Cricetulus griseus: one gene and its partner. Each later gene encodes a partner of the first gene's protein in a complex. Links are inferred from orthologs where the notes say so. Each region holds a gene or a part of one and is shown on either strand. Other genes may lie near its edges. The genes, in order: Coq7 and Coq4.

Region 1 (3,810 bases):
AACCTTTTCACCTGCTTTCTAGACCTGGTAGTCATAGTGCACAAAGAGCCTGTGGCACTTTAAGTAATGCCAACTTAGGTGGCAGCTAGAGTGACAAGCCAGAGGACCTGTGGTTTCTATGGGACCTGTGAACATACCTTATATTTAAAGAGTTTAGTTTGTGAGGTCAAACCTAAGCTGTCAGGCTGGGTCTCAAGTCACCTGTCCATGAAACTGGAGTATTAAAAGAACTTCTAAGTCCCCACTTGGGCTGCCAGACTTTGCACCCTGAACTTTTTCAGACTACCAGCAAGGGCCTTCTTCCCAGGGAGACTGGGGAAGAGCATCATGACTTTGGATGTGCTCCATGAGTTTCTGCTGTACAGCTTGGGAGGGGAGAGCCTTTCCCAAAGCAGCTGTCTCGTGAGCTGCCTGGTGAGGACAGGCTTCGACCTTTCCAGGTGGCCATATGTGTAAAGTGAAGCCAGAAACCCCAGTTTTTAGGTGAAATCTTTTGGGTTTGAGCATTGCAGATGACAAAGAATGCATTGGTAGACATATCTAGCTTGTTTATGGTCTTGGTTCTAACATGTCTTTCATTCTGTTTGCAAAAGGAGACAGAAGATGGCTCAGTTCATAAAAGTGCTTGCTGCCAAGCATAAGAGCCTGATTATGCTTGTAAGCATTCTGTCCCTGGGCCCCACATGGAAGAGGGAGAGAACTGGTCCCTGCAAGTTGTCCTCTGACTGCCACGTGCACATCAACACACACACACACACACACACACACACACACACACACACACACACACACACACACGTAATTTTTTTTTAGAATAAAAAAGACCATCAATATTCTGTGTGGATAATGAAGGACTGTTACTTGCATTTTCATTGCAGCCTATGGAAGAGGCAATGTCAGGTTTCACAGTTCAGGAATGACCTTAGACAACATTAACCGGGCAACTGTGGATCGAATAATCCGGGTGGATCACGCTGGTGAATATGGAGCAAACCGCATTTATGCAGGGCAAATGGCTGTGCTGGGCCGGTCCAGTGTTGGCCCTGTCATTCAGGTGGGTTCTTCCCTAAGTCTCAACCTGGTCTATTGCACTGGCAATGTATCTGAAGCCTGTAGGAATCACTTGCCTGTCTGTTCTAAAGGGAGGTGCAGGGAAACAGAGTGCATATTCTGTTTATGTAAAAGCACAGATATAAATTGGATATGGCTGGGTGTGGTGCTTCATGCTTTTAGTCCCAGTACTTGGGAGGTAGAGGCAGCTAGCTCTCTGTGAGTTTGAGGCCAGCCTGGTCTACGTAGGAAGTCTCGGGTCAGAAAGAAAGAATGGATAGAAAGGAAATGTAAAAGAGAGAAAGAAATTGGGTGTGGAAATTGTGTTTGTGGTGTGAATGTTTTGTGGCATCAAAGGCTGAAAATCCCTTCACTGGGGGAATGTTCCATGTGCCAGGTTTTTGTAGGTTTGTCTTAGCACAGAGTGCCAGAGAGAGAGAGTTTTACAGACCCAAAGATCCAGGTTTCCTTTCCAGCTCTCACCTTCTGCCTCCTTGAAGAGGTCACATGACCTTTAGGTTTCCATTTTCCTATGTGCAAATTAGCCTGGTAAGACCTCTAACTCATTGGGTTTGGTTGGGGAATAAGCTCATATGGAACTATTGCCACCCTGCCTACCATGAGGTAGCTTAGCATGTTGTCCCATCAGATTCCCCACAGACATCCCTGTCCCCAGAGCTCATTCCAGGCATAAGATGGTGTACATCTGCAGATAGCCCCTGCACCTCTGCCTTGAAGCATGACAAGGCTACTGAGAGTCCCCCATGCCAAGAGAATACCACACATTTGGGGTTCTATTTCATAGTGAGAACAGTCTGTGTGTTCTTAGGACACAGTTCTTTTCCACTGTTTTCATCTGTGGTTGCTTGAACTGATGGCTCAGAACCTGCCTGGGTTCCAGAGGACTCACTGCAAGCTGGCTGTGCTATGAGCCTCAGGGATAATCCATCTGCCTTAATAAGGCATAGTGTGGATGGCAGGAGTAGCCTCCAAAGCCATGTTGATGGCATCTCACCATCAACTGTCTGTCTTACACTATCACTGACTGTCCTACCTTAGCTGCTCTTGTCCTTCTGTCCCCATCCTTTGTGTCAAGTCTAGAAGGAAATTACATCACATCTGACTTTTTGCCCTCCCAATTCTGAACTGGGTCAACATCTTGTACACAAATGTGAAGCTTGGTCACTGACGTGTGTGTGGGTCTGGAGGTGTGGCAGTGGAACTCTTAGCTATGTCTGAGATCTAGCTTCAGTTCTTCCTTTGCCTTGCAGGCTCTTTTCTTTTTTGAGAGATTTTTCTGTGCTTTGCCTTTGTCTTATGGATACATAAGGGATGGGTGACTCGAGTTCCCATCATTACACCATTTCCTTATTGCCTCCTGTGTGCTCAGCCGTACGTAGCAAGTCCTCAGGGTATATCAAGAGGCCCCTGTAATGCTTGCCTCTTTTTGTTTTGGGTTTCTGTTTTGTTTTTTAGTTTTTTTGATTTTCTTTTTCCAGAAAATGTGGGATCAAGAGAAGGACCATTTGAAAAAGTTCAACGAGCTGATGGTTGCGTTCAGGGTTCGACCTACAATTCTGATGCCCTTGTGGAATGTGGCAGGCTTTGCACTGGGTAAGTGTCTGTCCAGGAGCCACTTGGCTGTTGGTGACGGGTTGATTATTCATGCCTCTGTAACTCTTATCATGCCCTCATCCAACCTTTTTTATTTACTTAGTGTTTTCCTAAACTTAAATTGAAGCTGATTGAACTGTTTTTGCTTATATGACTAAGATAGATTCATCACTTTCATAAATAGAGAGTATGATACACACAGAGGGAAGCTAGATAATATAGTCATAGCCAGATGATGTCTCCTGGTGATGTTAACCTGAGAACAGCTTGAGTGCTGGGCATGGTCACTTACCCCTTTAATCCCAGCACTCAGGAGGCAGAGACAGGCAGATCTCTTGTGTTCAAGGCCAGCCTGGTCTACAGGGCAAGCACGTTCCAGGACAGCTTGGGCTACACAGACTGAGCCCCGACCCCAAAGGAAAAAAAAAAAAAAAGGAAGAACAAAGAACCTAGTTTAGCACTCTCAGCTCCTAGCAGAAGGGCCAAGGCTCATTGAGCCTGCCTGGTGGTGCATACCTGTAACCTCAGCACGCAGGTGGCAAAGGTAGGGGGTGGAGGTTACGAGCCAGCCCTGGATACACAGTAAGTTCCAGGTTAACTTGGGTTTCATAGTGAGGCCTTGTCTCAAAAAATCAAACCAACCAAATAAAACAGAAAAATACTTTCAAAAAGAACTTTGTGACTGGCATCTAATAACGAGCTCAAACTGCTTCTCAATATGGAGTGACTGTTGCAGAGCATTCATGGGAGTATCTAAATGTTCAATAGTTATGCTTAGCAGTTACCACTGACATCTAGAGGGTAGATATTGGGTGACATCCAATATTAAACATATTAAACATCCCCAGATGTGGGGCCATAGAAACCATGTGTGTTGAAATCCGAGGGCCTTGCTGAGCCAGTCTTGCCCTTTGCTGGCCTGGGGATAGCTCACCCTGCCCCTCTCTGGACACTGCATCAGGAGAGCTGGTCCTGACCCTCATGGGAGCCCCCCCAAAACACACTTTCCATACTAAGGAGAGATGGCCTCACCCCTCACCACAGGTGTGTGAGAGCTTGCTCCACCCCTTGACTGAGAGAGGAGACAGTCCCCAGGTACAGACTGACCAGCTCAGCTACTACCCAGGCCTACATCCTGGGGCTTGG
Region 2 (4,585 bases), on another chromosome or scaffold:
GGCGTGCACCACCACCCCACCACCACCACCACCCACCACCACCCACCACCACCCACCACCACCCACCACCACCCACCACCACCTGGTATTCATTTGAATTTTTAAAACTACTTTATTAATGGCCTCTCTAATAATAGCACAAGTTCCACGAGGACAGGGTCCTGGCTTGCATGGAATGATGGAGGCAGATGCCAAGTGGTAAGTCCTTCAATAGTTGGGAACCCCCTTTCCTCCCACCATTTGCCTTGTCTGGTGCTGGAGAGTGCCACACTGGCTATACTCTAGAGCAGCAGGGGGATACAGTGCAGTGATTTAGAGAGTACTCTGGGGTTGAACAGTGCTCTGAGTGGTACTAGCTGTGAAGTTATCAAGTTGTTTCACTGTGCTGTGCCTGTGCCCTCATCTCTTGCAAGAGGATAACAATAGAACATACTTGACAGGGTCACTGGGAGGATCCAGCCAGCTCATGTACCAGCCTGGCAACTGGCATGCAACAGGAAGTTAATAACCTTCAGCTAGTGCCAGTATTTGGAATGACATTCCCAGTCCATCTGCTCATTCCATAGAAAAATGACTGAAAAAGCCCTAAGCTATCATCCCCATGCCACTCCTCTGCCCGTGTTGGTAACTGCTAGGTGTACAGAGGCTGGAAACTCACATTCATATCCAGGAAGCGGAGATACTCACGGCCCAGAGAGCCTTCAGGCAGGCTCTGAAGCTTCCTTAGGTCAAGAGTAGACAGTGAGATCCGGGGACGCTCTCTGAAAGACAGAATGCAGGAGGTCGGACTGGAAGTGTGTCAGCCAAGGCTAGTGAAAGAGCCACATAGAGGAAGCTGGGGTGGGCAAAGGGACACAGGACATCCACATAGCCACAAGACCAAATGGAGCACTGTAGTATTGGGGACTGTGGAGACCATCACAAACCAGGGCTGAGCTGATGCCTTCAAAGTCATGATCTAGTCAGAGGAGAAGGGCCGCAGATGTGATAAGGGTACTCACAAGTGACATTGCAGGGAGGGGATAGTGAGAGATATTTGGAGGGGTACAGCTAACACAGAGAGCTTAATGCAAGGGGAGTCTTGAGGCTGACACTGGGCTAAGACAACATATTGTACAAGCCAGGGGATCTAGCCTACATACACACATGTGCTCCTGGTACTGAGCAATGCTGAGGCAGTGCATCCACCCATGGGACTCCTGCCAAATGTCAAGGCAAAGTTTGGACCTACTGGAGGATCTGGGCACCCTCTGGATCCTTCTTCATCTGGTCCCTGAGGAATTTCAGGGTGCAGTATCCTGTGGTCTCCCCTAGAACTGCAACCATGTCTGAAAGGACAGAAATGGGCACAGATGGAGGATAGGATCTTTTTGTTTTTTTGAGACAGTTAGTCTTTTCAGTACAGGCTATCCTGGGACTCACTTGCCTCAATCACTCAGCGATCTTCCTGCCTCTGCCTCCTAAGTGCTAGGTTAAAGGTGTGTGCCACCACGTGGCAGCTAGCTGTTACTCTTAACATCATTTTTTGTTTGTTTGTTTGTTTGTTTTTTTCAAGACAGGGTTTCTCTGTGGCTTTGGAGGCTGTCCTGGAACTAGCTCTTGTAGACCAGGCTGGTCTCAAACTCACAGAGACCTGCCTGCCTCTGCCTCCCAAGTGGTGGGATTAAAGGTGTGAACCACCACCGCCCGGCTATTCTTAATATCATTAATCTACTAGAAGATGGAGGCTTTGAGAAACAGTGTGTGAATCATTTTCATATCCCATTATCAAAATAGATTATCATGTTTCCACTATTAGTACAGGCCAAATTTGGTATTAAATGGTGATGAAGAGCTGATGTAACTAAGCTGATGGAGTGCTTGCTTAGCACACTCAAAGCCCTGAGTCTGAGTCCCAGCACCACATAAACTGGGTATGGCAGCACATACCTGTAATTCCAGCATTCACAGGGTTAGGAGGCAGGACAATCTGGAATTCAAAGTCATCCTAACCTAAGTAGTGAGTTGCAGGCTAGCCTAGTCTACATGAGACCTCATTTCAACAAAACAACCATTTTGAAAAATTGTTGCTAGTTTTAAGTCTAGGTACAGTCACTCTATATGTGATCCTATCTAAACAACTCCACAGGTCTTCTTCCTCTCCCATTTCTTTTTTTTTTTTTTTTTTTTTTTTTTTTTTTTTTTTTTGACAATGGCTGGTTATATAGCTCAAGCTGGTCTTGAACCGACTCAGCAAAGAAAATGCTTAAGACCACGGTCCTTGACCTTACCAAGTTTACTACCTAGTGAGAATGTTATAATGTGGTGTGTACCTGCAAGCCATTCAGTCCAGAGATTAATATGCATGGATGACAGAGTCTCCCTAGAATTGCAAAAATGAAGACCTGTAGATTCCACACTTCCGTCACCTCTTTTCCCTCTGCCCTAAAGATTCACTACAGTGACTTTGGCTAGAACCAGGCACCCGGTTATCATAAACGTTCCTGGGGACTATGAGATAGGTGGAGCCAGGTTTTGATGCCCGAGACTGCCTGACTCTCCGGTCAGGAAACCAAGGCTTTGACAGAGGTCATTGCCGGCCCCGGCTTTCGAGGGCGGGGAGCGAACGGCTTTACCGTGGCGATAGGGGTTGTAGAGTGCCATTCCCGCCGAGCCTGCGGCCAGCAACATCTTTTGCAGCGAGGTGGTGGGGATGTGGCCCGGGTACAGCAGGCGGGGGCCATGGCTCCCGGCCCTGAGGGGTACATCTGTGGGGCAGGAAAGGGGTACTGGTGAGAGGCGCCGGGTTCCTTCAGTCGCCGCGAACGCCCGGGTCAGAGCTGCTCACCTACAACCAGCCGCAGACGGAGCGGGAGACTGCGGTGGGGACGCAGGGAGCGAAGCAGCAGGGTCACCATGGCAGCGGATGTCCGCGGTGGGTGGGCGGGGCTCCGCTGGCACGACGGAGGCCGGAGAAGTCAAAAGACTCCACCGGGCTGCACCCGCTGTGGCGTTTTGATCGGAAATGTGATATGGACGCGGGCGTGGGAAGGAAAGACAGGATTTGTCTGCCACTGTCGTAAGACTTCGCTGTGAGCTAGGCGTTACCGATAGCGCATGCCTGTCAACCCAGCGCTTGCAAGCTGGAGGCCGGAGGATCAGCTCAAGGTCCTTGCTATTTAGTACATTTGAAACCAGCCGGGGCTACTTGAGACCCCGCCTCAAAAACAAAGCCGGGTGTGAATTACACCTGTCACTCCAGCATTTGGGAAAGAGAGACTGGAAAATCGGGAACTTTCGGCAATCTAGCAAGCTCGAGAGCAGCCTGGGATACATGAGAAAAAAAAAACAAAAAACAAAAACTCCTGAAAGGAATTCCCGAAAGAAGATAATAGAGAACTATGCTGTTCAACATTCGGCCCTATTTCCTTCTCCACCGCATGTTTCCCCCCGGAGGACAATAAGATGAGAACCTCTTCCGGCTGAGGAAACATGGCAGCGACTTACAGTAGGGACCACATTTGGGACAGGACCATGCGGCACTTCCGTTTGCAGCCCAGATCCTGTATCATGCGGTGCTGCTGAGTTCCAGCCATGGGGTCTTCGGGCCTGGCTCGCCTGCAGGGCCTCTTCGCGGTCTATAAACCTCCCGGCATGAAATGGCTGCACGCGCGGGAGACCGTGGAGCTGCAGCTGCTGAAAGGCGAGTGCTTGGACGCGGACCCACAGTTCTGCATTACTTCCATCCGGAGTTCCTGCAGAACAAAGTCACGTGACACCCTCGCTTGGTTACAGCCACATCCTGGTTTTCTGTTGTATACATTTCGGTACTCCCCGCTCTCCGCTATTTTCTGTTAGAGAAACGCATTCCGTACTGTTGTTTTCGCACGGTTACTCTTTGAAAATTTTTCTTGGCTTTTTGAGACCGGATCTCGAGTAATTAATTAATCCGACCTTGAAGTCAGTAAGGATTTAAGAATTCTGACGCTCCTGTCTCCACCTGGCAAATGCTGTGTTCACAGGCATGCATCACCACACCGAGTTTCAAACCCCACTTTTTCTTTGTTCCCCCTTTTGTTATTTATTTATTTGTTTATTTATTTTTGGTTTTTCGAAACAGGGTTTCTCTGTGGCTTTGGAGGCTGTCCTGGAACTAGCTCTTGTAGACCAGGCTGCTCTTGAACTCACAGGGATCCGCCTGCTTCTGCCTCCTGAGTGCTGGGATTAAAGGCGTGCGCGGCCCTTTTGTTTTTTAAACAACTCACATGTAGGCTCAAATTTGCTATATAAGCTGAGGATAGTCTTGAACTTTTTGCTGCTTCAGCCTTCACTTGCTAGGGTTTAGACTACACCAGTGTACCACCTGCTGGGGCTGGAACCCGGGGCATCTTACGTGTTGTGCAAACATCCCATCAACTGAGCTATGGTTCCAGCCCAGGCTTTCTTAAAGGACTCTTGTGTTTATTGTTTGTTTGTTTTCTCGAGACAGGGTTTCTCTGTGTAGCCCTGACTGTCCTGGAACTTGCTCTATGGACCAGGCTGGCCTCGAATTCAGAGATCCAACTGTCTTTGTCTCCTGAGTGCTGGGATTAAAGATGTGTGCCAC

The links.
Region 2: Coq7 (region 1) and Coq4 share a complex: the UniProt entries of both Homo sapiens proteins name them as parts of the multi-subunit COQ enzyme complex. The link is inferred for Cricetulus griseus from reciprocal best matches to the Homo sapiens genes COQ7 and COQ4.

What each region holds. Positions count from the first base shown.
Region 1 is NC_048596.1:82,083,247-82,087,056, forward strand, and holds part of Coq7 (5-demethoxyubiquinone hydroxylase, mitochondrial), read left to right. Parts: intron 1-878; coding exon 879-1,054; intron 1,055-2,549; coding exon 2,550-2,664; intron 2,665-3,810. UniProt on the Homo sapiens protein: Catalyzes the hydroxylation of the 5-methoxy-2-methyl-3-(all-trans-polyprenyl)benzoquinone at the C6 position and participates in the biosynthesis of ubiquinone.
Region 2 is NC_048599.1:141,442,004-141,446,588, reverse strand, and holds the start of Coq4 (ubiquinone biosynthesis protein COQ4 homolog, mitochondrial), read right to left. Parts: upstream 2,982-4,585; 5' UTR 2,898-2,981; coding exon 2,828-2,897; intron 2,748-2,827; coding exon 2,616-2,747; intron 1,329-2,615; coding exon 1,232-1,328; intron 762-1,231; coding exon 659-761; intron 1-658. Other genes in the region: mitochondrial mRNA pseudouridine synthase TRUB2, read left to right, coding at 3,574-3,682. UniProt on the Homo sapiens protein: Lyase that catalyzes the C1-decarboxylation of 4-hydroxy-3-methoxy-5-(all-trans-decaprenyl)benzoic acid into 2-methoxy-6-(all-trans-decaprenyl)phenol during ubiquinone biosynthesis.